Oryzias latipes: one gene and its partners. The protein of the gene in region 2 purifies or fractionates together with the protein of the main gene of each other region. This does not show direct contact. Links are inferred from orthologs where the notes say so. Each region holds a gene or a part of one and is shown on either strand. Other genes may lie near its edges. The genes, in order: inppl1, grb2, pik3ap1, anxa2, dock1, map4k3 and garem2.

Evidence for each region.
Region 1: the proteins of grb2 (region 2) and inppl1 purify together in Homo sapiens (affinity purification with mass spectrometry; 3 studies listed by BioGRID and IntAct, with this or other methods). This does not show direct contact. The link is inferred for Oryzias latipes from reciprocal best matches to the Homo sapiens genes GRB2 and INPPL1.
Region 3: the proteins of grb2 (region 2) and pik3ap1 purify together in Homo sapiens (co-immunoprecipitation; 4 studies listed by BioGRID and IntAct, counting the BioPlex papers as one, with this or other methods). This does not show direct contact. The link is inferred for Oryzias latipes from reciprocal best matches to the Homo sapiens genes GRB2 and PIK3AP1.
Region 4: the proteins of grb2 (region 2) and anxa2 purify together in Homo sapiens (affinity purification with western blotting; 5 studies listed by BioGRID and IntAct, with this or other methods). This does not show direct contact. The link is inferred for Oryzias latipes from reciprocal best matches to the Homo sapiens genes GRB2 and ANXA2.
Region 5: the proteins of grb2 (region 2) and dock1 purify together in Homo sapiens (affinity purification with mass spectrometry; 5 studies listed by BioGRID and IntAct, counting the BioPlex papers as one, with this or other methods). This does not show direct contact. The link is inferred for Oryzias latipes from reciprocal best matches to the Homo sapiens genes GRB2 and DOCK1.
Region 6: the proteins of grb2 (region 2) and map4k3 purify together in Homo sapiens (affinity purification with mass spectrometry; 4 studies listed by BioGRID and IntAct, with this or other methods). This does not show direct contact. The link is inferred for Oryzias latipes from reciprocal best matches to the Homo sapiens genes GRB2 and MAP4K3.
Region 7: the proteins of grb2 (region 2) and garem2 purify together in Homo sapiens (co-immunoprecipitation; 4 studies listed by BioGRID and IntAct, counting the BioPlex papers as one, with this or other methods). This does not show direct contact. The link is inferred for Oryzias latipes from reciprocal best matches to the Homo sapiens genes GRB2 and GAREM2.

What each region holds. Positions count from the first base shown.
Region 1 is NC_019871.2:21,842,837-21,846,336, reverse strand, and holds part of inppl1 (phosphatidylinositol 3,4,5-trisphosphate 5-phosphatase 2), read right to left. Parts: intron 2,252-3,500; coding exon 2,162-2,251; intron 1,522-2,161; coding exon 1,423-1,521; intron 1-1,422. UniProt on the Homo sapiens protein: Phosphatidylinositol (PtdIns) phosphatase that specifically hydrolyzes the 5-phosphate of phosphatidylinositol-3,4,5-trisphosphate (PtdIns(3,4,5)P3) to produce PtdIns(3,4)P2, thereby negatively regulating the PI3K (phosphoinositide 3-kinase) pathways.
Region 2 is NC_019866.2:20,759,507-20,763,530, forward strand, and holds the start of grb2 (growth factor receptor-bound protein 2), read right to left. Parts: upstream 2,801-4,024; 5' UTR 2,394-2,800; intron 65-2,393; 5' UTR 1-64. UniProt on the Homo sapiens protein: Non-enzymatic adapter protein that plays a pivotal role in precisely regulated signaling cascades from cell surface receptors to cellular responses, including signaling transduction and gene expression.
Region 3 is NC_019873.2:30,009,751-30,014,042, forward strand, and holds the start of pik3ap1 (phosphoinositide 3-kinase adapter protein 1), read right to left. Parts: upstream 2,801-4,292; 5' UTR 2,357-2,800; coding exon 2,326-2,356; intron 1,740-2,325; coding exon 1,323-1,739; intron 539-1,322; coding exon 108-538; intron 1-107. UniProt on the Homo sapiens protein: Signaling adapter that contributes to B-cell development by linking B-cell receptor (BCR) signaling to the phosphoinositide 3-kinase (PI3K)-Akt signaling pathway.
Region 4 is NC_019861.2:37,467,895-37,471,394, forward strand, and holds part of anxa2 (annexin A2), read right to left. Parts: intron 3,322-3,500; coding exon 3,231-3,321; intron 3,138-3,230; coding exon 3,058-3,137; intron 2,691-3,057; coding exon 2,631-2,690; intron 2,238-2,630; coding exon 2,144-2,237; intron 1,951-2,143; coding exon 1,855-1,950; intron 1-1,854. UniProt on the Homo sapiens protein: Calcium-regulated membrane-binding protein whose affinity for calcium is greatly enhanced by anionic phospholipids. It binds two calcium ions with high affinity. May be involved in heat-stress response.
Region 5 is NC_019877.2:11,960,515-11,964,773, reverse strand, and holds the start of dock1 (dedicator of cytokinesis protein 1), read right to left. Parts: upstream 2,801-4,259; 5' UTR 2,637-2,800; coding exon 2,585-2,636; intron 1-2,584. UniProt on the Homo sapiens protein: Involved in cytoskeletal rearrangements required for phagocytosis of apoptotic cells and cell motility. Along with DOCK1, mediates CRK/CRKL regulation of epithelial and endothelial cell spreading and migration on type IV collagen.
Region 6 is NC_019873.2:10,879,515-10,883,668, forward strand, and holds the start of map4k3 (mitogen-activated protein kinase kinase kinase kinase 3), read left to right. Parts: upstream 1-1,354; 5' UTR 1,355-1,511; coding exon 1,512-1,610; intron 1,611-4,154. UniProt on the Homo sapiens protein: Serine/threonine kinase that plays a role in the response to environmental stress. Appears to act upstream of the JUN N-terminal pathway.
Region 7 is NC_019882.2:19,108,771-19,112,270, reverse strand, and holds part of garem2 (GRB2-associated and regulator of MAPK protein 2), read left to right. Parts: intron 1-2,052; coding exon 2,053-2,183; intron 2,184-2,287; coding exon 2,288-2,453; intron 2,454-3,292; coding exon 3,293-3,500. UniProt on the Homo sapiens protein: Probable adapter protein that may provide a link between cell surface epidermal growth factor receptor and the MAPK/ERK signaling pathway.

The DNA of each region.
Region 1 (3,500 bases), on a different chromosome or scaffold from region 2:
TTTTTAACCAAAATCAAAACTCAGTGTCATTTTCTAGGTCATAGTTTCTGCAGAGCGGCAGTACCGGTAGTCAGCGGCATTAGAAATTCACCTGTGAGTTGTGGTCGGGACTGTTGGCGTGGACCAACCCCCGCCTCCTTCCCATCACTCTCCAGCTATCTTACAGCCCCTCACGCACCCAATCTAAGATTACTGGTGCAACAAAAATGGCAAGCATAATTGGAGCTATCCAGCTGTAGAGTTTGGAGCCATATGCCAGCTCTGACGAGGAAAACAAAGACGTACATGGATCTAGTCATCTACAATTGGATGCATCACAATGGAGGAGAGCAGGGAGCTTGTGACCTGCCCACCGACCAAAAAGCTTTCTTTTGTCTGCCTGAGTCACAATGATTTGAATAAAGAAATAATCAGAAATGCAATTTTGAACTTAAATTTTTTAGTAAATGTCCTCCATCATCAAAAAAATACCACAAAAACATATAAAAAAACAAAAACAAAAATTTTCATTGTTGTGGGTCTAAAAAGCAAAAAATGTGTCGCTTTTCTGGTTTCTGTGCATCATTTTCTTCCCTCTTTTTGTTTAAATTTAATTAAAAAAATCTATACTAAGAGTTGCAAAAACTTACAAAGGAATCTCTCACTTTCAATCATTACAGTATGACTGTAAGACTGTTTGTGGGTAAACATTTCTCTTCCTGAACAACAGGAAATGACTAAACTCATGCCAGGATGATTCAGACTGAGTTATCAGCTAATATTCAACCTCACTTATTTGCTCTTTCCTTCACTCTGGGCTCCAGCCCATTTAAAGTTCATCTATTTTCTGTTATGTGAGGCTCCAAGTTCAGCTTTTGTCTCCCGACTAGAATGTTCCTAATATTTCTCATTGAAACTATTTTTCCATTCTCTATGGAAAAATGCCATAAACCACTGAGGCATCAGCTGTGAGGAACAAACCTTCAGTGACAAAAGCAATCATCAGCTTAAATTTAAAGTTGCTTAAAACCCTTGTGCTATCTTAGATGACCCCACCCTTACATTGACGTGTTCTCCCTACCATGACAAAGGTGGATAAAGGTGGAAAGATTTCATGTAATCCATGGACACCAGTGAAGATCACAAATCATTGAAGAAAAAAGGTTCAGAGCACTGTCTAGTGGGTCTAGATGACCCAACTCCCAACGTTAAAGTGCCTAGGATAGCACAAGGGTTACTGATCTTTAAGATTCTGTTTACTGAAAAAAAAAAAATATATGACTCAATCCTGCACCAGCAGAATCTATAAAACATTTTTCATGAGCGCTTCAGAGCATTTTAGTGGGATATAAGTATTTTGCAAGATACAGAGCTCCACCCCCACACGCAGATTACTACTAATGAAGCGCACAAGCGTGCACGTGTGAGTTTGTACGTGTTTACCTCAAAAGCCTGAACAGGAATGGCTTTGCTGTGACGCATGGAGAAAGGAGGAGGAGAGCAGGGGGAGGACAAGCTCATGTCCTGTAGTGCTTTCAGAGCCTGAAGGGACAAAGAGAAAGTGTGTGAGTGTGGGGGAGTGGACAAACAATATGAGAAAGAGCATAAGGAAACACAAGAGGCTGCAAAAGGACAGGGCATCGGTGAAAGAAGGGAAAATGCACTGTCATGGTCAGCTCTAATGGGTTTAACGTCAGCATTTCCTTTGAGAATCAGGGAAGGAAGACCTATTTTCATCACATGTCCAGACATGCAGCTTCCCTGCACTGGAGGCCATCTCCCCCAGAGCCCACTGAAGACTTCCATGTGATGCTCTGCAGTCTCAAGTGTGTGTTTAACAAAGAAACAACTTCAAATGTCTTCAACTTAAACCAATCAAAGCTTTGATCAAGAATCCCTCTGGAGCTGACAGCATGTTTCCAGCTAAACTGGAGAAAGAAGTCAACCTAAAGGGAATAGATGAAGAATATAGAGAAATAACTTTAAATAATGTGAAATGCTGAAGAAATCAGTAGAGCCCGTTAAAGTGGAACACCAAGGATCCAAATGGGGATAAACAAAGGTTCGGAAATAGATGGTAAAATAATGCTAAAGCCCAAAAATCAAAACACAGCAAAGCGGCCTAGAAAAAGCAGAAAAAGCAAAGAGAATGGAAAACACTCAGACTAAGGATGAAGTATACCTTTTTCTCGATGGAAGACAACAGGTCTTTCAGAATTGCCAACTTTGTCACCAAGTTTTCCAACTCCTGGTCTCCACCCTGGTTCACTGACTGATGGATTAAGACAGACACACAGAAGCCACTGCTGTGAGAACATGGCAATTAAAGAGGTCAACTAAAATGTCACTTCAAACAATTTCTCTATAGTAATTACAGAGAGACAAAAAGTGTTTGTTAGTAAGGATTATGAGTTTGGTCTGTAATGTTCATCATAGAAACACTTACACTGTGAGAGACAGAACGTAAAAAAAGAATTCAGGTAATCACATTGTTTGATTTTTAAATAATTTATTTGTTTGACGTTGCAGAAAATAAGAATTTATCTCCAACAAACAAACAAACAAAAGATCTGTCCCTAAGAAGTTCTTGTACCCTCCACTTGTTACCTGTTTTAATATCAACTTTTTGAAGTGGTTATCTGGATAAAAGACACCTGTCAACACCCTGAAACAGTCAGACTGAAACCCCTCCACCATGACCAAGACCAAAGAGCTGTCAAAGGACACCAAGAACAAGATTGTTCACCTGAACAAGACTGGGATGAACCAATCTACAATAAGGAAGCAGCTTGGTGAGAAGAGATCAGCTGTTAGAGACATTATTAGAAAATGAAAGACATACAAGATCACTGACAATCTCCCTCCACCTGGAGCTCCAAGGACGATATTAATGGTCTTGAGGTGGAAACATCATGCTTTGGGGCTGGTTTTCTACAAAGTGGATAGGACAACTGATCTGTATAAAGGAAATGAGAAATGGATCCATATTTGCTGGGATTTTGGTCAAAAACGTCCACCCATCATTAAAAAAATTGAAAATGAAACATGGCTGGATCTTCCAGCGTGACAATGATCCCAAACACATCACCCAGGTAACAAAGGAGTGTCTACGTAAAAAGCATTTCAAGGTTCTGGAGTGTTCTAGCCTTTAGACCACAATCCAAAAAAGAATCTGCAAAGGGAGTGTAATGTCAGTGTTGCCCAACAACAGCCCCAAAACATCACTGCTTTTGAGAAGATCCGATTGGAAGAATGGACCAAAATAGCAGACACAGACCTACTAAAGACCTGCCAGAAACCTTTGACCTCGGTCATTGAGACCAGGGTTACATGAGAAAGCATTAGGGTAAACTTTTGTTATATTTTCTCCTCATTTATACAAATGATTTATTTAAAGACCAAACAATGTGATTTCCTGGATTTGTTTTTACACTCTGTCAGAGTGGAAGTTTATTTAAGATGAACATTACAGACCAAACTCATCTCTTTAGGTGGGACTACTTGCAAATATTTTATTCTAC
Region 2 (4,024 bases):
GAGTCTCTCCTCCCGTCCCGCTCCTTTACGACTTTCACCTCACATAAAGGTCACAGGGCTGTACCTGCAGATCAGAAAAGACGTGGTGATCAGTTCGATGGTTGTTACTGCAGCTGAGACACTTCTAAACCAGTGGTTCTCAAATATGGGTATCCTCAAGGGTATTTGAAGGCATATTAAATAAAAAATAAAACATTAAATTTGTTATATAGTGCTTGATGACATACTAATCACATCCTGTCACCCTAAAAACTTAAACAATCAACTTAGTTTAAAAAAAAATCATTTTTGTATCTTCAGTAGTGTTTATGCCCAGGATTTCATTTTCTTTTCAAGAACCCCTCCAAAAATGAGATAAATTGCACAACTGTAAGGGCTTAAACTCTGATGAAAATTGTGTTTTAATTTACTCTTTTTTTTTCCCACTATGGAGGGCATAAATAAAGAAAATTAGGCTTAGAATTGCATATTGTGTAGTTATTTGTTCAAATCGCGTTGCAGACGAAAAAAGATTATGAACAAGCTTGTAGATGTGACGCAGACGCTACAGTCAGCAGGCTACAAGCTTCCTGCTCCGCTCCATTCTGATGCATCCACTTCCAGACAAATAGATCCGTGTACGCCTTCGTTTTCCTCCTCTGAGCTGGAATCTGGCTCTAAACTGTACGACTGGATAGCTCCAAGATTGTTCCCCACTTTTGATGCACCGCTAATGTTAGCTGGGGGTTGTGAGGGGCTGTAAGCTAGAGCGGGAGAGTGTAAACAAAGGGATGATGGGAAATCAAGGGAAGCTTACACCACACCCAACAGTTATAGCCACAACTCATAGGCAAACCTCTAATGAATTACTGACACTCTGTAGAATCGTTGTCCTAAAAAACGACTCCGATTTATTGATTTTGAATAAAAATAATATAATAAAAACACCAGTGGGGATTCTTGCAAATAGATCAAAAGATGATTGGAGTGGGACTTTAAGACATAAGGGCATATATGGAACAATGTTGTGCTTTGTACCCCCCCCCCCCCAGAGAAACCCTTTCCTCATTATTTCTATAAAAAAACAGAAAAAGGTGCTAGAAAGAAGTGGTTAAGAGGAAGAGGGAAAAATCCCCTTCTGCCATCAAAAACCATGTGTTGACAACCAATAAGAGGCAAATTTTTGACATATTACCAATAAGAAATTTAGACGAACCCGGTTCATGTCAAACAAACGTTGCACATACTTTTCCATGTTATCCAAAAATGGTTCATTTATGTCCTCAAAATGATCTCAAGATCTTCAATAAAGCGAACTTCCGCAGTTTTTTTTTTTTTTTTAACTTTAGTCAACAGTCAGAGAATTAGGAGTCACTCAATAACTAGTGACAATTCCCAAAGACCTTAATCTAAAGCTCCTGCAAAGATAAAGCACTGGTTAGCTTAAGCAGGGTTGACAGTGATACAGTAGCTAAAGTTGTCCAGTTAAATAGATAGAGACTCGTTATCCCGTTTTCTAATACTCTACCGGACAGCTTTGATGAGCTCACTCTACTACAACTCAGTACTTAGTAAGGTCGTTAAAGCTGACAGCAAGCCAGATGACAACAAAAGAACAACAAACACAGCGCCACTCAACAGGCTACTTTCGCCAATTAGCACATTTTTCCACGTCTTCCGGCGCCTATTAGAACTTGAGTCGGAATAAAAGCAATTCTCCAAAATGTAGTGTCTGTCAACGTGGCGCCGCTTCCTTTAGCATAAATAAGTAACGCAAATCCCTCCATAATTACATGCAGACAAAAGACTAGCAAAAAAAAAAAAAAGAATTAGAAAAAATCGGTGGTGATTTTAAAGTTAAAACGTTACAACAAACGAAGCGAGAGGCTAGTTTCAGGAGGTCCTGACTTTCGTCACTTTACATAGTTAAAACAGTTATTTTATAGACATGAACACGAAGGATGAAGTTTAATATTGTTTTATTTAACGACAACCAATTCTCATGATCGCGTCTTTAGGAGTGATGTAGTAGATCGAACCAATTCCAGTGAATAGACTGCGCCCACTGTTCTAGAACATTAGAGCTAGCATGCCAGCTAACGGTCGAGCAACAATAACTGCGGTGCGGTGTCATTATCAAACTTGCCCCAAATTTAATTACACCAACAACGATATCAGCGGTAACACCTGTAAAAAGCCGTGACCGGTTAAAAACGACGAGGCCGAACACAACTTTTATCCCCAAGTGCGATTACAAAATAGAAAACGTGAAAGGAAGAAAACATCTTTTTTTCCCTACACCGCAAAGCTGTTCGGTGCTAACTCAGAGTTAGCCTAGATATATCACCACTGAAGGCGTCGAGAAAATAAAAGTACAACTTTCACATCAGGAAAAGGCGACAAGATTAACTTACTGTTCACGATATTCCGTTTCAGATCGGTCTCCGTAATAACCCAAACGATATCGTGTAAACTAAGCTCTCCCTGCTTCCTATGGAGAGCAAACCGACGAGGAGGAATCGCTCACAGCCCGTTTTCGGAGCCTGAAGCTAGCTGGTAGCAGACGCTGCTCTCGACGTTTATTTCCGCTTCCTTCCACCGAGAGCTGCGGGGCTGTGCGGGCTGCTGGGACTGGAGCTCCTCCCTGTCAGCTCCGCTCGGCTCGTGAATCAGACAGGAGGACAAGTCTCCGTGACGGTCTGCCGCAGCGTCCCCAGTCCCACGGTGGATTGTTGAAGGCAGAGGGGAAAATTGGAAACACACTCGAGACTTTTGCGCAACTTCAAGATAATGCTACTCAAGTAGAATTACAGAAGTCATTGGTATAAAAAAAACTAAAAAAAAATAAAAAAAAAAAATAAAACGGCACGCAGTCTCAAACTTACGGAATCGGAAACATCAAAAAATAATTTTGCGCTAGTCTTACTGGTAAAACCTCTGCACTTATAGTTTTTTGGGAATAAAGAAAATCATTTCAGTTTCACTTATGTACGGAGCCCTGGATGTGACATTCTAACAAACAAACAAACAAACCCCACAACAAATTGTTACCTCAAAAAACGTGTACATGATTTAGTATTTCGTATTCACAAATTAGTATTTTATGGGCATTTTCAAAAAATTAGCATCTTGTGCACACAAAATAGTATTTTCTGGGTAAAATTGTGTATGTTGTGTGCACAATTTAGTGTCTTGTGGCCACAAATGAGTATTTTCTGGGCACAATTCTGTATTTAATGTGCACAAATCAGTATTACTCGGGCATAGATTTGTGGGCACACATTAGTATTTGTTCGGACACATTTGAATTTTGTGGCCAAAAATGTTTGTTTGTGCACACAAATTAGTATATTATGGGCAGAATTTTGTATTTTGTGCACACAAATGAGTATTTTGTTGGCACAAATTTGTATTTTCTAGGTACAATTTTGTATTTCATGTGCAAAGTGAGTATTTTATGTGCACAATGTGGTTTGTTTTTTTGTGCACACTATTTTGTGCACACAAATTTGTATTTTGTGGGCACAAATGACCATTTTGTGGCCACAAATAAGTATTTTCTGGATACATTTGTGTTTTTTGTGCGCACAATTTAGTATCTTGTGGCCACATATTAATATTTTCTGGGCACAATTCTGTGTTTTTTGCACACAAATTTGTATTTCCTGGGCATACATTTGTACTTTGTGGCCAAGAATTAGTGTTTTGTTTGCACATATGAACATTTTGCGGCTGCCTAATGTATTTTGTGCACCCAAATTTGCATTTCGTGCTCACAAATTAGTGTTTCATTGATGATACTAAGATATTACTTTATGTTCAGAAAATGCTACTTTACGCACAAAAAAATGCTACGTTATGCAAATAAAATTCTAATCCTTTGCCACAAATGATCAATTTAAGGTCACAATAATTTCTGCACCTTTGAGCAAAAATTTGACTCACGCCACATGCGCAACAGTCACCAAAATTTGCACACGCCTAGTCCTTGGAGAAAATAAATTTTGGGCATAGAGAACGACACCTCCCAAGACAATGACATCAC
Region 3 (4,292 bases), on a different chromosome or scaffold from region 2:
TGAACACATGAGAAGAATCCATGTTAGATGTTTTTAACAGCAATTTTCTAGAATGTACTGAGAAAAGGTCAAAGGTGGAGCTTCCAGGCATGAAGATGGCGGCGTACCTCACACTGAACTCTGCTGGGCTGAACAGTCAGACAGGTGAGCTGTTTGGATGGATTCACCTCAACACCTGAACGCTCCTCATGGACACTTTCTGGATCTGCTGCTTCACCGGAGGCGTCCTCAAGCGTTACGGCGAAGGGTGGCTCCACCGCAGCCGTTACCGCCAGGGGCGGGTCCACCGCAGCCGTTACGGCCAGGGGCGGCTCCACCGCAGCCGTTACGGCCAGGGGCGGGTCCACCGCAGCCGTTACCGCCAGGGGCGGCTCAACCGCAGCCGTTACGGCCAGGGGCGGCTCCACCGCAGCCGTTACCGCCAGGGGCGGCTCAACCGCAGCCGTTACGGCCAGGGGCGGCTCCACCGCAGCCGTTACGGCCAGGGGCGGCTCCACCACAGCAGCTTCATTTGCACATGCGGCCTCGGCTTGTCTGCCTGTGAAAACATCAAACTCAATCAGATCATTGCTTTTGACCAAAGTCACCAATAAAGACGTCTATCTGACATTTCTATGAAGCTGTCACGCTAACCTGTCTATACGCTGGAAAGAAACACGCTCCTGATTTGTTGTAAAAGGAAACAGACAAGTCTCGCCTCTTTTCAAGAGAACTGAATGAAGCCTGGTGTTTTATAATTCTCTGGATCAACTCTGAACCCATCAGAACAGAACCGCATGAGTCCGAGACACAAAAGAGGGGAAGAGAAACCAGTCGGCAAACGTTTAGTTTGATCAGATTCTGTCCCTTCGGTCCCAGAGAGCTCAAGCTTTAAATTGATGCAAAGGCATGTTCCAGAATGAGTCACTGGGGGCTCAGCAGGCTCACAAACACCAGGTCCAGTTCCAGAAATGTGGTTGGCAACTCCTGGGGGGAAACTGACGACCCGTGAAGTGGGATGGGTGGGGCTTATGGCGTGAAAAAAATGTTACAGCTATGTCTGAAATTCAGTAAATGCAGAATTTTACCTGAACCGCTGTGAAAGTTCAAAGTGGCCCTAAAGGGCAGATTGTTTTGGTGGACCCCCCCCCCCTCCCCCCTCCCCCAGTGCTGAGTAGATGCTGGTTGAAGCAGCCACCCCCTTCAAACGTGGCAGAGCGCCTAAAGAGGAAGACCTGTGATGTGTTGGTAACCAAATGTTTCATGACTGCAGAAACACGACTGAAAGGGAGAACAGACAAATACGGGAAGCAGGAAGGGCCAAATTCAGAGAAGTTCCATACTGTCAGTCACTGCAGCCATGATGGTGGAGGCATAGGTTAGAGCCTCATCTTCAGCAAAGATCTTCCTCCAGCTGCTCCAGTCTGTGAAGGCGTCCTTCGGCAGATCCTCCTCACCCACCCCACAGAACAGCACCACCACTCTGTGGGGGGGCTGCAGAAGACCCTGAAGGGCTCGCTGCAGGTTCTGCTCGTGCATCATGTCCAGGAAGACTCCAGAAAGGAGCAGCACCACGCATTTGCAGCGTTGGAAATGTACAAAGTTGTACTGGTGGAGCAGATCGGCCGAGCTCAGAGCATACAGCAAAATGGACCTTCTGTGGAACTTGTGAGATTTCAGGACCTGCTGCAAATACATGGCCCATTCATGCGCTTCAGAGGTGTACAGAATCAGAACCTCACATTTGGACTCCAAATCATCTGTGAGACAGAGAAGATCACAGGGTTGTTAGCAGAACATCGTCATTATGAACTCCTCAGATCAGTCTGAACACCAGGATGGACCTCAGTCCCCTCAGGACTGATGTGCTGGGTTCACGGAGCAGCAGGTCGCGTCGGCGTGGCGTGGCGTGCTGCGGTCCCTGAAGGTGACTCTGATGGAAATGTGGGAGCAGGGCCAACAAGTAGTAGAGCAAACATGACAGAGTTCTGTAACCTCTGGTCCCGTCGTTTAAATTCCCCTTCACCTCAGCTAAACGCTAACGAACCAGAAGAGTCCCCCCCTCCCCCCATCTGACCAGCCGGTGGAGGGAAAGTCTTAGCAAAAAAGAACAGATGAGTCAAATTTAGACTGTCGGAAATTTGTCATGAGCTCAGCTGAAGCACACAGGATGCTAACGTGTTCAGTTCCTCTTTTCTGGACGTTCACGTTTCACAGAAAGTTTAAGGCTTAAAGATGAAAAAAGTAAAAACGTTTCATGTTGATCAGCAGAAGCTTTGACTTTTGATGCAGAACTCAATTCCAACTGAAAACAGAGGCAGAGAGGGGGGGGGGGGGTCTTCCTACCTGCGTTGGTGCTGGACATGGATTCATTCATGGCTCTGGAGTCAAAGGGGTCCAAATCAGTCCAGAACGGGCATCCTAGCAGACGGAACTCCTCTGGAGCTTCTTTTGTGAACGACACGTCACCAGCTTTCCCCTGCCAGAGCTCTTTGCTGCTTGTATAAATAGCAGCTGTTAATTTCCTGATTTTGGTAGCTCAGCCCCACTTCCTGAAACAGTTGAAGAAGTGAGAAAATACCCCGCTTACAGGTCTGTGAGTGTAACATGTCTGCAAGTGTGTTGAGTCCAAACTGATTTAAAGTGAAGGAGGGGCCTAACAAGGGGGGGGGGTATGACACAAAGAATCAAAAGTTAACAGAAGACCTCAGAATCGGAGCAAACAGACCCCTGAAGACCCCTTTGCTCTCAAAAGAGTCGCCCAGCGGGGAAAAGGAAACACATTTACCTGTGGTGGGCGTGAGCAGCATGTTTGTTCTCACTTCCTTAAAAAGGTGCAAAGTTTCAGAAGAGCAGGACCATGAATATTTGGACAGAGACACATTCTTTCTAATGTAGTTTCTGTACATTACCAAAGTGAATTTTGAATAAAACAACTCAGATGCCATTGAAGTGCAGACTTTTAGCTTTTATTCTATGGGTTGAACAAAAAGATTGCACAAGATGTGAAAAACTAAAGCATTTTTTAAACACAGTCCCTTCATTTCATGGGCTCCTAAGTAATTGGACAATTGAAATAACTGCAAACAAAATGTTCATTCCCAATATTTGGTTGAAAAGCCTTTGTTGGCAATGACAGCCTGAAGTCTTGAACTCATGGACATCACCAGATGCTGGTTTTCTCCTTCTGAATGCTCTGCCAGGCCTTTACTGCAGCGGCAAACAGTTGCTGTTTGTTTGTGGGCCTTTCTGTCTGAAGTTTAGTCTTCAACAAGTGAAATGCTGCTCAAGGGTTCAGATCAGGTGACTGACTTGGCAATTCAAGAATATTCCACTTCTTTGCTTTAATAAACTCCTGAGTTGCTTTGGCTGGATGTTTTGGGTCGTTGTCCATCTGGATTATGAAACGCCGCCCAATCAGTTTGGCTGCATTCACCTGGATCTGCGCAGACAGGGCTGCATTCACCTGGATCTGCGCAGACAGTATGTCTCTGAACACCTCAGAATTCATTGGGCTGCTTCTGTCCCGTGTCACGTCATCAATAAACACTAGTGTCCCAGTGCCACTAGCAGCCATGCACGCCCAGACCATCACACTGCCTCCACCGTGTTTTACTGATGATGTAGTGTGCTTTGGATCAGGAGCTTCTCCACGCCTTCTCCAGACTTTTCTCTAGCCATCGTTCTGGTAGAGGTTGATTTTGGTTTCTTCTGTCCATAGAATGTTTTTCCAGAACTTTTTTAGATGCTTTTTAGCAAAGTCCAATCTAGCTTTCCTATTCTTGAGGCTTCTGAGTGGCTTGCATCTTGCAGTGTTCCCTCTGGGTCTACTTTCATGCAGTCTTCTTTTGATGGTAGGCTTGGATATTGATCCGCCTCCCTCCTGGAGAGTGTTGTTCACTTGGTTGGCTGTTGTGAACGGGTTCCTCTTCACTGTGGAAATGATTCTGCCATCATCCACCACTGTTGTCTTCCATGGACGTCCAGGTCTTTTTGCGTTGCTGAGTTCACCAGAGCTTTCTTTCTTTCTCAGGATGGACCACACTGTTGATGTTTCCACTCCTAAAATTGTAGCAGTTTCTGGTTTCATGTTTTTTTCTGTTTTCTCAGCTTAAAGGCCTGTTCACACCGGGACGAATTTCGCCGGCGATTTTCGCCGACGTTTAACGCCTCGTGACTAAACAAAGGGCACCAATGAGAGTGTGCACACCGACGCGAAAAAACGCCACGCGTCAAAGCGTCAAAAAAACGCCTCGGGTTCGTTTTTTTTTTTTGACGCACCGCGTCAAAAACTACACGACCAATGAGAACGG
Region 4 (3,500 bases), on a different chromosome or scaffold from region 2:
AAGGCAACATGACAACCACAGGTCCAATGGAACACGACAACCACAGGTCCAAGGCAACATCACAACCACAGGTCCAAGGCAACATCACAACCACAGGTCCAATGCAACACGACAACCACAGGTCCAATGGAACACAACAACCACAGGTCCAATGCAACACTACAACCACAGGTCCAATGGAACACAACAACCACAGGTCCAATGCAACACGACAACCACAGGTCCAATGCAACACGACAACCACAGGTCCAATGGAACACAACAACCACAGGTCCAATGCAACACGACAACCACAGGTCCAATGCAACACGACAACCACAGGTCCAATGCAACACGACAACCACAGGTCCAAGGCAACATCACAACCACAGGTCCAATGCAACACGACAACCACAGGTCCAATGGAACACAACAACCACAGGTCCAATGCAACACGACAGCCACAGGTCCAATGCAACACGACAACCACAGGTCCAATGCAGCACAACAACCACAGGTCCAATGGAACACAACAACCACAGGTCCAATGCAACACGACATCCACAGGTCCAATGCAACACGACAACCACAGGTCCAATGGAACATAACAACCACAGGTCCAATGCAACACGACAACCACAGGTCCAATGCAACACGACAACCACAGGTCCAATGCAACACGACAACCACAGGTCCAAGGCAACATCACAACCACAGGTCCAATGCAACACGACAACCACAGGTCCAATGGAACATAACAACCACAGGTCCAATGCAACACGACAACCACAGGTCCAATGCAACACGACAACCACAGGTCCAATGCAACACGACAACCACAGGTCCAAGGCAACATCACAACCACAGGTCCAATGGAACACAACAACTACAGGTCCAATGCAGCACAACAACCACAGGTCCAATGGAACACAACAACCACAGGTCCAATGCAACACGACAACCACAGGTCCAATGGAACACGACAACCACGGGTCCAAGGCAACATCACAACCACAGGTCCAAGGCAACATCACAACCACAGGTCCAATGCAACACGACAACCACAGGTCCAATGGAACACGACAACCACAGGTCCAATGCAACACGACAACCACAGGTCCATTGGAACACAACAACCACAGGTCCAATGCAACACGACAACCACAGGTCCAATGCAACACGACAACCACAGGTCCAATGGAACACAACAACCACAGGTCCAATGCAACACGACAACCACAGGTCCAATGCAACACGACAACCACAGGTCCAATGCAACACGACAACCACAGGTCCAATGCAACACGACAACCACGGGTCCAATGCAACACGACAACCACAGGTCCAATGGAACACGACAACACCAACCAGAGAGCGCTAAAGACACTGGAGAAGTTCATACAGAAACATTTTTTCTGCAGATGACTGTCTATTGAAACTTATTTATGAGACTGATTTAAAGCTCAGAAATGAAGATGATCAGTTTTATCTGCTGACTTTTCAGTCTTCTGCAAGCTGAGCCGCTGTCAATCACTCATTCTGTATACGGCTGGACCAATGAGACGTCAGCAGGAGGTCAGCCGACTCACCTGGGACTTGAACCGACAAATAGGACGAATGAAAGTGAAGCTGAAAAAGGGACAAAAACCAGGTTTAAACCAAACTGAAACTAGTCTGAAACTGAGCTTGAACCAGGTTAAACCCACCGGAAACTAGTCTAAACCAGACTGAAACAATGCTGAAACCAAGCCAAACCAGGCTAGAATAGGCTGAAGCCAGACTTAAACTAGTCTAAAACCAGGCTGAAATTAGACTGAAACCAGGTTAAAACCAGGCTAACGCGTTCTCCACAGGCATCCCGTTGGTTGGACGTACCCAGAGTGAGGAAGGACTTCTCCAGATCTCCTTTCACCTCCTTCTTGATGCTCTCCTTGATGTCGTAGGGACTGTAGCTCTTATATCTCTCAAACACTTTGAAGAAACAAAACTTTTTTTACCTTCAGTGTTTAGAAAATGAACCAATTACAAAAACACACAAATATTTGCTTTGCTCGTGTTTCTGAAGACAAAATGCCTTTAAATCAGGACTTTGTTGTTCAGAATGTTGTTCTGAAAGCTTCTTCTTCTGTCACTGTCACTTATTTTTTCTCCTTTTCAGTCTCACCTTTCTGCAGATGTGGGACGCTCCGCTGCGACATGATGGAGATCCAGGTGGTCACGTCGGTTCCTTTCCGTTTCACGCCGGCTTCGTACAGAGACTGAGGAGGAGACAGAAGACGGACGGATGCTGAGAGTTTCCAACAACCGGCGGTCAGCATTTGATCCAGCCTGGAGGAAAGCCGCCTCACACGGTACCGGAAATGTCTGTGATGTTTTTATTCTAAGCCCAGAAAAAGTTTTTCTTCTCATCATGAATGAGTTTGATGATCCGTTTAGCCGTCGTCTTTATCACGTTGAACTTATTTCATGAAAAATGTTTCGTTTCAGGCTCAGTTTGTTTGTCTGTGAAGCTCTAACAGAAAAAAAATACAGATTTTATTTTGAAATGTCAGATCTACTCTGTGGTGACGTTAGCATGAAAGTTTTATTTTGTAAATAAAAAAGTGACCGCAAACACGCTAGCTGGCAGAAACGGCGTAGGATCCACTCACTCTGGCGTCTTCGTCGATCTTCTGATAGTCCACAACGTTGGAGGGTTCGTCTCTTCTTGTCTGGAAAAGTTTAGGGTCACAAGGTCAAACATACATAGTGCTAAGAGATTTTCAAAATCAAAGCACAGCTTCGTGGACAGGATTTTACAGGTTTGACAGGTCAAGATTTTCTTAACTATAAGATCAGGATATTCTGTAAAACGAGTTGATTTTAACGATTGTATTTTTAAATGTAATCAGAAAATGACAAAAAAACGCAGTGCAAGGAAGCAAAAAAAGGAAAGATATTTAAAAAAATGTGATCTTCTTTTAAATCATTATTTCAAGATTGAAAATTGTATTGACTTTTTTTCAAATGAACCTTTATTCAGTATATTACCATGTTAGCATGTTAGCATGTTAGCAGGTTTCCGTGTTCTGGACGTACCTGAACCAGAGCCAGCAGCAGTTTGGCGAAGTTCCCTGACGTGTCTCCGGCGATGTCTTTCTCCACCTCCTTCTTAAACACTGACAGGACACAGACGGCGTTGATGCTAACGCGTTTTTAAACCCAAGTTCTCACATTTTGGTTCATTTGAAGCAGAGAACTGTTGAACTCACTCTCTCTGTACTCCTTCTTAATCTCCATCAGCTCCTCTTCGCTCCTGGAGCAGAGCATCTCGATCAGAACCTCCTCATCAGTTCCCAGACCCTGAATCCAAACAGAGAAGCCCATCTATGAAGCAGCACTGAGGTAAAGACGTCACACGACTGGGTGTCACACAGGATTCATGTTTAGCACATTTCTAACAACACAGTCAGCCTCTTCTCCACGAGCCTGTAGCCACCGTTTAACCGCTTAACCTGATGAACCTCGAAACACATTGGTCT
Region 5 (4,259 bases), on a different chromosome or scaffold from region 2:
GGGCGGGGAAATCCCTGACACACTATGTATAAGGACAGCAACATTTGTCATTCATACTGCTGAGAAAGGATAAAAGGGAAATCTTTCACACGTACGCTAACAAAGCCTTGGGGACCATTATGAGAGCCTTTAAATAGCAGGACAAAAGTTTGGCTGAAACGGAAATGGATGCAGAGTGAGCACCGACAGCGTGACCGGTCTCACACAGCGCTCATTAGTGCTACTTGGTCAACATGTGAAGTTTGGAAAAGTGAAGGGGGAAAAAAAATAAAAACACAAAAAAAAAGCTTCATGCCCCAACAATCTTCCGTCACCATAATTTGGCAGCTGCCTCTCTTTCAACTAATGACTCACCCACTCGTGCACTGAAAGAGCCCTAAGAGGATTTTGAAAATAACAAGAAAATCGTTAGCATCTAGGTTTGCATAGTTTTGGGAGCCACATACAAATAAAAAAACTCACAAATGCTCCATCTAGCAGCACAATCTGGACTGAAAATACAAGAGCTCAATTAAAAGTCCAAGCTCAGGTTTTAGAGTAACCTGTTAAAATCGCCCATCAGTCAGCATCAGCATCACCCTATGTGGCTGAAAACGGTTCTATTATCAGGCATGGGCACGTGTTACATGGAGTGCAAGAGGGAAAGTATTGGGAAAAATCCTAATAAAATATGGCTATTAGCAAAAAATAAAGGACTAGTTTATGGGGCTGTTGCCTTAGAAACAACCCTGCAGATAACCAAAAAGAAACTCAACACACCACTGACAAGCAATACACGGATAAAAGATTTTTTTTAAAACACTAGCAGGACCCAAAAAAAGGAAAACTAGAAGATAAACAACAATAGGCCAAAAACATGAGAAAAAGTAAAGAATCAGTCATTTTAGGCATACAAGAGGAGCAGATGGTGATCCTACTTAAAGACCCACTCCGATGAAAATTGTGCTTTATACATGTTCTTGAGACTTTTTTCTGATGATGGAGGACATGTATTTAAAGAATTAAGTTAAAAATGTAGAAAGTACGTCAAGCTCCCTGCTCCGGTGGATTCTAAAGCATCCACTTGTAGACAAATAGAACCAAGTACGACTTTGTTTTCCTCGTCTAGACTGACTATCTGGGTCAAAGCTATACGGTTTTGTTGCACCGGTAATGTTAGGTTGGTGGTGTGAGGGGCTTTAAAGCTAGGGGGAAAGAGTGTGTAAACAGATGGGTGAGTTTGATTCTATTGAATTAAGGAGCTGTGTGTGTGTGTTTGTGTTCATCAGAACACACAATATTCATTGCAGAACTTTCAGGAAGGACTATAGAGAAGTGGTGAAGATCAAAACCATCTGACAGAAAGCCTCATGGCTCGAAAATAGACCTTCATAGTGTCACATAAAAGGGACCTTTAGGTTGTATTTACCGTTTTATTACATATGCAGAAGTATGTACTTGTGCATTTAAAGGTTTATTTACTATATCTTGATTGGCTTTTTTTAAATCACTAAATTTAATGACTTATACATGAGCTTGTTGCATGCAAGCTCAGTATTTCCAGCACCAGACGCTCTTTGTGATGTTTGTTCCTTTAAAGTCAAAATCCGATTGTCCGATCAATGTTTTTTTTTTTTTTTTTTAAGTTCCCGGTGGTCTTTTAATTATGACTGTCATTTTTAGCCACAATCAAAAAAAATCTTAGTTTTTTTCTATGACATTGCATATGCAGTCGTGAAGTAAGCCTGCCCCCATTTCCCATCATCCCTTTGTTTACACTCTCTCCCGCTAGCTTACAGCCCATACCCCCCCCCCCCTTCCCCCAACTGTAACAGACTGGAGCTGTGTAGTTGTGAGCCAGATGGATAAGGAAAACAGAGACGTACATGGATCCATGTGTGTACATGTGGATGCATCAGAAAAATGGAGTAGTAAGCCATGCGATGCGTATTTATTTTCTGCGTCACACACACACACACACGTGCTCTTTTTTTATGGATCTGCTCCTGATTCACAACGATTTGAAAAAATAAATACTCTTCATATTTTCCATTTATGTCTTCCATCATCAGAAAAATGAAACAACAACATGTTAAAACCATCCTTTTCCTCGGAGTGGGTCTTTGGAGCGACAGTGGAGGCTGAACGTGACAGCGGAACTCGAGAAAATTAACAACACCAGCATTTGAGCAGACTCCAACCCTGTAGGACCCCGCCGTCAACACCAACAGCGCGGATTATTCCAAGTCACAAATCAAACTGGGCTCGAAAGTCGTTCAAGTTTTGTGGCGGAGGCCCCAAAACACAGGAAACGGCGCCGCTCCGACTAGGCGCGCCTCTAACAATTCCCAATCCACACTCGGTCCTCTTCCTCACAAAAGACGCCCGCAGACATGCGACCGTCCCATGCAAACCACCAGCGCTGAACTAAAGTGTCCCCGAGAATCATTGGCATTCCTCCAGTTTAGTCAAATGCGAGCCCGTGAATCCTCTAAACCTCCCGGCGAGAACCGTTCACTCTCGTTTTCTAATCACAATTCTTCCCTGAACTTCTGAGAGCAGAGGGCTAGGGGGACGAGCTAGCGATGGAAGTTTTCTTACGTACCAACTCCATACTTTTCCTTCTTCGTGGGGACCCAGCGAGACATTCTGATCATTCAGGCGTCCCTGAGATGCCGTTCAGCCAGTTAGAAAAACTCCAGGTGTGTTTGCTTAGTTGTAAAGTAGACTTTTCTGTTCAGTTTTCTCCCAGATTTGGAGAGCTGCTCCGAGCAGCCATTTTCCATCAGTGACGGGACGCGCCGGCAGGGGGCGAGGCGGAGCAAAAACCTCTTTCAGGCAGTCCTGGTGCTTACAAACAAACTGCGGCCCGATCCTAATTACGTCATGACGAGCTGAGACATATTTCTTCAAAAGCAAACACATTCCTGAAGACAAACCATCAGTTTTATGATATACCAAAACAAAAAAAGGTATTTCATTAGTAATTTTGCCTAAAAGGTTTTAGCAAAAATTTAAAGGGTGCTTTTATTTTGAAAAAGTTTACACTTGAAACGAATGTTGTTATATGAGGGATTAATTTAAAAATAAAAAAGGTAAGAAAACCTAATTTAGAAAATTAAAAATCCAAGAACATTTTCAATAGTAAATGTATTATTCTTTATAAAAAATAAATTAACAGCATTTGAGAGTTGCATCAGTGCCTTCAGTTTTATGTCATGCCAAAACCAAAAATGTCTCTCATTTTTAATTATTGCTTAAAACTTTTTTTTAAGTGCTTTTATATTTTTTAAAGTATACACTCAAAAAATGTTGACTTTATATGAGAGATTAGGTAAACGAAAGTGAAAAAGAGAGAGTAAAACTGATTTAAACATTTAATAATTCGTTTATTTATCTCCTTTCGTTTATTCCCTTTCGGGGTCACAGGGCTGCCAGAGCCTGTCCCGGCCACTTGTGGCCGAAGGCAGGGGACACACCGCACAGGTCGCCAGTCTGTCAAAAGAACTATATAATAATCTCCAAGAATATTACCTATTTGACTAATTGTTTTTATTTGACAGTAGTAAAACAGTGAAATAAAATCAGTGTTCATTATAAAAAATGATTTCAAATTAACAGCTTCTGTGAGTTAAATACATAGTAAACCCTGACATTTACTTTTTGTTTTAGGTCATGTTTAAAAAATACAGTTTTTTTGTCCTGTTTATCCACAGCTTTTTCTTTCATTATTTACCTTTTTCTTCATTATCTGTGTATAATAATAAATCGAAAGGACCTTAGATGGGCTTCTGGCTTAAATGATACTGAAACTCTTTCTCTCTGAGGCAGTAACAAAATTCTGTTAATGTAATCTATGAATGTAAAATTCTTTGTTATAGTACATTTAATTCCTTCTTTGTCCATAAATTTAGAATACCTGCCTCAGTTTATGACCCCACGCCCCCATGACTTCCCTCACCTACAGATGTCATGTTAGCATTCAACCAGCAGAGGGAGCTCCCACTTTCAAACTCATTACAGTACATCTTTTGTCAAAAAGTCAACCTTGATCACAAGACAGTTTAGACCCCATCCAAAATTTTAACTTTCACCCTCCAAGTAAGTGGTGGCACAAATGTTATTTCTATTTATAATTTTATTTGTATATTTATATATTTAGAATGTCAAAAAAAATTCTAGCACTTTCTACTACAACTTTATCCTGTTGAGCGTTGCTGAGCAACTGGTGCCATCCCAGCTGTCTTTGTGAAAGGAGTAGGATAAAACCTGGAAAAGGT
Region 6 (4,154 bases), on a different chromosome or scaffold from region 2:
AAAGTAAAAAAGCAAACAACTTAATAATTCAATGTAAAAAGAATAAACTACAATGTTAAGTAAAAAAATCTAAGAATAATATGTAAAGTAAAACATGACCTAAAAATACTATGTGAACTAAAAAAAACTTAAAAATTGTATGTTTACTTGACAAAAACTTTAAATAATTATTAAGTAGTAGTAAGTAAAAAAAAAGATAAATCTAAAACCCTTTGTAAAGGAATAAAAAGCAACATCACAAAGTAAAGTAAAAAGCAAAACAACTAAAAATATATATAAAGTTTGGAAAAAGAGAAATGTTATGTAAAGTTTAAAAAAATTAAAAAATACTTTCTGAAGTAAAAAAAAATCTTGATGCTGTGGTTTAGCAATGAATGCTTAAACTTTGGCTCAGACTAATTTGATTTTGTTCTTAAAAACAAACGTTTGAAATATTTTATTGTTATTTCCTACTTCATCCCATCAGAATATCGTGCACTGCTGCAATTTTTAATCTCAAATTCTGGAAATTTCTTGTCCTTTAAAGCTTTGAGTTTAGTAACCATAAAGAAGATAAAATAATCATGAAATCATACGATAAAATGTTACAGTTGAGTTATTCTTGTATAAACTGCATTTGCAGTCTCAAGGCCTGTTCACACCGGGACGAATTTCGCCGGCGATTTTCGCCGACGTTTAACGCCTCGTGACTAAACAAAGGGCACCAACGAGAGTGTGCACACCGACGCGAAAAAACGCCACGCGTTAAAGCGTCAAAAAAAAAAAACGCCTCGGGTTCGTTTTTTTTTTCGACGCGTCGCGTCGAAATCTACTCGACCAATGAGAATGGCGCTTTTGCTCACGTGTCTGGAGCTTCTGAAGTTAGAGTAAAACACAACTTGGGGGCGCTCAAACACAAAACTGCCTTGCTGAGCACACATACCAGCGAAGAAGATAGACGCCAAGTAGCGTCTACACTGCCGCGAAGCAATAATGACGTACATTCTAAAATATCCCCGAACCAAGCACCAGTTGGAGCTACTGGTGCTTGAAATATTCATGTTTTCTTTGTTTGATTCTGACAAGCGTGTAAATACTTGCTCTCTTCTTCTGAGTGAAAAGCGACTTTAAGAAGCGTAAAGTTGCGCAGCGCCACCTTGTGTACAGGAGTATTTCTGTTTTACATTAAGCGCCATCTAATGTCAGGGAATGAAATTGCATGTTCACTCCACTCATCGTCAGCGAAAATCGCCTGGGTGTGAACACAAAAAACGTGGCGAAAAACGCTGGCGAATAACGCCTGGCGAATATTCGTCCCGGTGTGTACGGGCCTTCAAACGCACCATCCCTGGAAAACAACTTTTATCCCCCGCGCATGCTCAGTGAGTCCGCGCAGGAAGCCATGTTGGATCTTCACACTGGATTCAGGCAGAGATTTTTTGACACCGTATGTTTTTCCTAAAATATCCGTTCACCGTCTTCGTCGGGGGTGCATCCACCGCGCGCGATCGGTGCCGTAGTTGGCAGAGGACATGATGAACTCCAGCATGGACCTGTCCCGGCGGAACCCGCAGGAGGATTTCGAGCTGATCCAGAGGATAGGAAGTGGGACCTACGGAGATGTGTACAAGGTAACGCTGCAGAGAGAGGGGAGCTTCCAAGGGGTTCCATTTTCGGACACCTAGCTCAAAACAGTAATTCATAGTATTCCGTTCTTAATTTTTGGGGAAACATTAAATATTTTAAAAATATTTAAATTTTCCTTTTTTGTTGTAGCACAACTTTGAACTTATTTAATGGCTAACTGATGTTTTCGTGGATAACTCCGATGTGCGTTGCATTGACAGAGCTGAATTGTGCTTATGGCTGCTCCACTTTATGCTGCTCCATTCGCATTATTCCCGCAACCCTTCCTGTTGATATGTTTTTATTAAGTTGATACAGTATACGTGAATGTTATAGCTGCAAATATAAGGGCTCATCGGGAAACTAAAACCATCAATGTTTTTGTGTTTTGGCTAACTTCAAGCTGTCCGAAAATGGGTACAGGGGTCCTAGCATAAAACAGCTAGCTTCTCAGATTCTTGTGAATTTTAGTACCATCAGGCAGGGATTTGCTTAATGGAAGACACTGAAAACGGTCAATATTTTCTCTGAAAAGGCAAATATTACACCAGTTTAATCAAATATACCAGTAGTATGTCCTCTCTGCCCTGTCTGGGCTGACAGCTGATTCGGCTAAGGCGTTAAGCCACAACAACAACAACAATAACGACAACAGCGGTCAGATGATCGCCTCCAGTCGGTGTTTAACGTCTTCTGCTGTCCGCAGTGACTTTTAGAAGTTCCTAAGAGCCCTGATTCGGCCCTGCCGTGTCTGTGGTGAAGTTTGGAGGCTCCTGCTGTCAGTTTAGCAAGGCCCCACGGCTTCAGGTCAGACCTCAGACTGCAGAAAAGAGTGGGACAATCAGTTTAGAGGAAAAACGTGCAGAAACATGGCGAGATTTGACCCATTTTACCTCAGGCAAAAGTTTTACCCATCAGGCAAAGGTTTTACCCATCAGGCAACAGGTTTACCCATCATGGCAATGGTGTAACCATCATGCAAATGTTTAACCCATAAGGCAAAGGTTTTAGAAGAAAGAGAAGTAGAAGCCCCTCCTTGCTTTTCCAGTGTGAACACTATGGGCTAAATGTGTTTAAGATAGGGGTGTGTATTGACCAGAGTCTGGCGATATGATTGATTGTGATATTTTACCTGAACATATTTTATTTATTTAAAAAAAAATATGACTTTGAAAAAACTCTACCTGAATTTTAATGTCTTCCACTGTTATAAAATGGTCAAATTCAGTTTAGTTAATGATCACAATGTTAAGCACTGCAACTCAGTGACGTGCGGTGAGGTTAATGGCTGGTAAGGCACTGACGTCAGTCAGATTTACAAACATATGAACCATACTGAGTAACTTATTCACCATTTGATTGACAACAGTTAACGTGTTTTGTTTAAAATATCATTTCAACATGTTTTTTTTTTCATATGCAAACTGCAGCATAGAAAAAAACACAAACGTTATTATCGTCTTACCTTTACTTGTAAATAAAGTCCATACGCCGCTCCTTCTGAAGAAAATGACTTGCCGCTTGGTATCACTTCTTCTATTGTTTTTTAGCGTCATAATCTCAGGGCTCACCGGCGCCCCCTAACATGAGGCACGAGAATGTCTGGCCTCACCCAGCGGCTTTTTTGCCGGCGTTTAGCGCTCAGCACAAGAAACACGTCCCTCACATACAGTTATTTATAAAAACAAACACTGTACATCATATACATCTGCTAAATTATGTAAACTCAGCTCATATAGTACAAGTGATTGAACCGACATACAGAGACAGCAGTTCCGTCTGACTGCATAGGTATTGCGCAATCCAAGGTGAGGCTCAGCGGGCTGGTGCCTCATCGCACGTCACTTCTTATTATCTGAACGGCAAATGCGGAAATTCAGCGATTTTGAAAAGAAAAAAAACCCAAAAATGGTCCATTTAAATGGAAAATGACTGCAAAGCACAAATTACTGATTAAATATAATAATTGAATTTATTTTTTCTCTTTTCTTCCCATAATGACAGGTGAGGCACAGCCTCACCTGCCTCTCCTGACTGCACGTCACTGCTGCAACTGTATCTCATATACAAGTTGCGTTTACCAAAGCAAATTCATAGTGCTTTTATTTTGGTAAGTTGAAAGTATAGAAAGGAAACGGTCAACATTGTCTGATTTCCACAACAAAATATTTTTCAGTATAAGAAAAAACAAAGAATGAGAAAATAAAATGCGGTTCATTTTCAACATGTAGCTTCTCCAGTACTTTTAAACAGTTCAGGAGCCTGAATGGTGCTTTAAAAATAAAAGGGGGGGCACACACGGATTCTTTCCAGAAACAATAAAGTGATGATGATGAGTCAGCATAACAGAACGAAGGTAAATTGCTTTAATGTGACAAAGGTGCTTTGTTACATATCAGTCTGCTCTGCTGAACCTTTGCAGACACGCTTCTCACACGCGCAACACTCCTCCCCACGATGTCGGCCTTTTTTTCAGAGCGTTGTACACATCCCTCTGATCCATCAGGTCGTTAAACTAGAATCTATTGATGGGAGGTTCTGCAGAACTT
Region 7 (3,500 bases), on a different chromosome or scaffold from region 2:
TTTGGAGCTCTGCAGCAATTGACTGTACAGAAAGACAGTGACCTCTTTGCACTCTGTGCTTCAGCATCCGCTGACCCCTCTCCATCATTTTACATGGTCTACCACTTGGTGGCTGAGTTGCCGTTGTTCCTAAACTCTTCTATTTTGTTCTGATAGAGCTGACAGTTGACCGTGGAATATTTAGGAGAACAGAAATTTCACCGCGTCAAAGACCCACATCAATCACCTTTTGATCTATTTTCCAAGAATTCACCTTTGAGTTGTGGGCTGGATTGTTTATGCAGAGCAATTGCTGAGAGCTCGATCTTCAGCTAGCTTACAGCCCCTCACACCTCCAACCTAACGTTAATGGTGCAGCAAAAATGGCGAGCAATGCTTGAGCTATCCAGTCCTACAGTTTAGATCCAGATTCCAGCTCAGGCGAGGAAAGCAAAGACGTACATGGATCTATTTTTCTGACATTGGATGCATCAAAATGGAGCGGAGCAGGATGCTTGTGGCCCGCCCAGCGTATTTTTTACGTCACAAATAAGATGTCCGTCAAACAGCATTTTTCCATCTGCTCCTGATTCCCTATAATTTGAATACACATTTATGCAGAAATGCAGTTTTTAGCTTATTATCTGTCCTCCATGATCAGAAAATGTCCACAAGAACATGTCAAAAACACCAAGAACACCAGTTTCCTCAGAGTGGGTCTTTATATTTACCAACTACAAAAACCTTTTGACTTTATTCTATAGATTATGGAGTTTCTCATTTTGGCCTCCCTTTGGTTTCATCCTTTTTCTTTTGTTTATTTTATTTTTTTTAAATAAACAACAAAGTTTTCTACAGATAAATCTCTTAGCAAACAGAGTGCTTTTACTTTTCATCTTAACGGACGAGGGGCACATCCCTGACATGTCTGTTGTACTGCATAACTCTGGTGAAGTAACAAAACCATGTTTTTAATTACACAAAGTGTTTCCATGCAGAGATGAGCTAATGTCTCTGGGATGACTTCATACAGGAAGTCTAAACAGGCTTAGGATGGGAGAGATATAGGTTGACTCCTTGGGATGGACAACAGGATGCATCCCTGTTTCTCATTCTGACTCTTCATCCTGCCTCACTGGGAGGAGTGTGAAGGTCGAAAAAGCTGAATGATAATGAAGGAAACCCACCCTGTACTGTGCTGTGGATTGTGAAGCTGAACTCCAATTTGTTGTCAAACTTTGTTTGCTTTTTAAAGCAGGGTGGGTGGGTTTTGGTTGAGCTGAAAGGTGGATCCTGTTTGGATTGGGAGGGGTTTGATATTCTGCCCTAAACACTTTGACAGTACAAGAAAAGACCGGCTTTTGTTGCAACTTGTGAACTTGGGTGAATCAATCCTTTTGTCAGGACTCGTTTGCGGTCGATAAAAGCCAACCATAATTAACAGCTTTGACAAAACAGTCTGAGCTTAAGGAAAAGTAAAGAGATGGTAAAAGAAGAGAGTTGAGGATGTGAGTGTCTCCATGGTGACAGGCCTCTGCTCAGCGTGAGAATAAAGGTCTTTTATTGGTTGCCATGCCAACTCTTTCGGCTGTCGATCGGCTAAGAGGCGTTGCCAGGTCAGAGGTCAAATAAGTGTCAGTGTTTTCACGTCCAAACTGTTTCCAATTAGTTGCTATTTTGAAAGACCCACTCCAAAGAAAATGGTCTTTTTAGTGTTTTAAAATGTTCTTGTAGCATTTTTCTGATGATGGAGGAAATATATTAGGAAAATTATGATTGAAATTGCCTTTCTGAGTATTTCTGTATTCTAATTGTTGTCAACCAGGAGCAGACAAAGAATGTTGTTTGAAAAAGCCTGTAAATGTGACATAAAAAATTATGCTGGGCGGGCCACAATCTCCCTATATGAGGCCCTCAGAATTATAAGGTGTGTTTTGGGGGGAAAAATGAAGGCCTTTTAGTGCAGCTTAGGTGGTAGAAAATACGGTAATTAAAAGACCACTGGAAAACTTTTAAAATGACTCAAAAGATGATCAGATTGGGTCTTTAAATTTTCGGTCTTCTTCTTTGCAGGCAAGTTCAAGCTGCTGGATGAAGACCGGGACGTCAGCGATCCTGTACAGTATTTCTCCAGCGTAGAGGAAGTTGCCGCCATCTTCCCCGACCGTGTCTTTGTCCTGGAGACGATCACTTTCAGCGTGAAGGTCAGTCGAATCCAAAAAAACGCTGACCAGCAGCAGGTTGATTTACGACATTTCCCTGAAAAGTCCTTCCGCAGTTCCACATCTCCCGTGTTCACGTTTTCCAGGTGGTTTCAGGAGAGTTCAGTGAGGACAGTGAGCCCTACAGTTTCACTCTGCAGGCTGGAGATGAGCTGTCACTCATGGGGAAGGCGGAGCTTCTTTGCGCCACTTCTCCAAAGGAAAAGATCGGATTGAGCATGCTTCTCCGACGTTTAGGCAAGACTCCCAGAAGTAGGTCGAAAATCCTCAGAAATTCTGTTATTTCCATGTCTTCTCTTAATATTTGAGTCTATAGGCCTCACAAACACACATATACACACTCTGGTGCTTTGTAACGTCTATTAAAACAACCATGGATATTATTTCAAATATAAGAACTCACACTGGCTACAATTTGTGGACGCTAACTTAATAATTTATGGGGTTCATGTATTTTTCTTCTCTTGATCCACATCCAACCTGCCACTAAACATTTGATGATTGAAACATTTTGTCCCATCCTTCTTCCTTCTCGTCAGTAGAAGCATTTCACAGTATTGTCTGCACTATAGAGCGCAGCTGGACCATAAGACGCATCGTCAATGAATGGTCTAACTTTGTCATGTGGCTCACCAAACTAAAAGGCGAATTAAGCGAGACAAAAGAGTCAGCCATAGGTCTGTCAGTCTTTATTAACTCTCAAACTTGTTTGCAATGTGCTACATGTTAGCCACATAAGTAGAATTAGCCTCGTTAGCATATTCCCACTACCATTACTCTCAAACTTGTTTGAAACCTGTATTAAAACAGTCTGAAACCACTAAAATAAACGTTCCTGACTTTGCTGACTCCCAACCTTCCTAGCAACATGTAAAAAAAACAGTCCGACAGCTAGCATTAGCATATTAACAATAACACCCAACCTTGTTTGACTGACAGACCGCCATGTACCAATTCAAAATCCCTTCTTCCTGATTGGAAGAAGGCATTTGCTGTAACAACAAACCATCCTTAAAAAATGTACCATTAATAATCTGGCATTACTGAAGGTTCAGTGTCCTAAAACGTTTGTTTGATTTTCGGAATTTCAGGTAAAACTCCCTGCCTGGTCTGCATGAACCATCGCACCAATCAGAGTGTCAGCTTGCCCTTTGGCTGCCGGGGACGCTTCTGCACACGTTCTCCCCTGGAGCAAGGCATGCTGGGAGGAGAGCACACAGTACGGAGCATCATAGAGAGAGTTCGCCTCCCAGTCAATGTCTCTGTTCCATCTCGACCACCACAGAACCCCTTTGATCG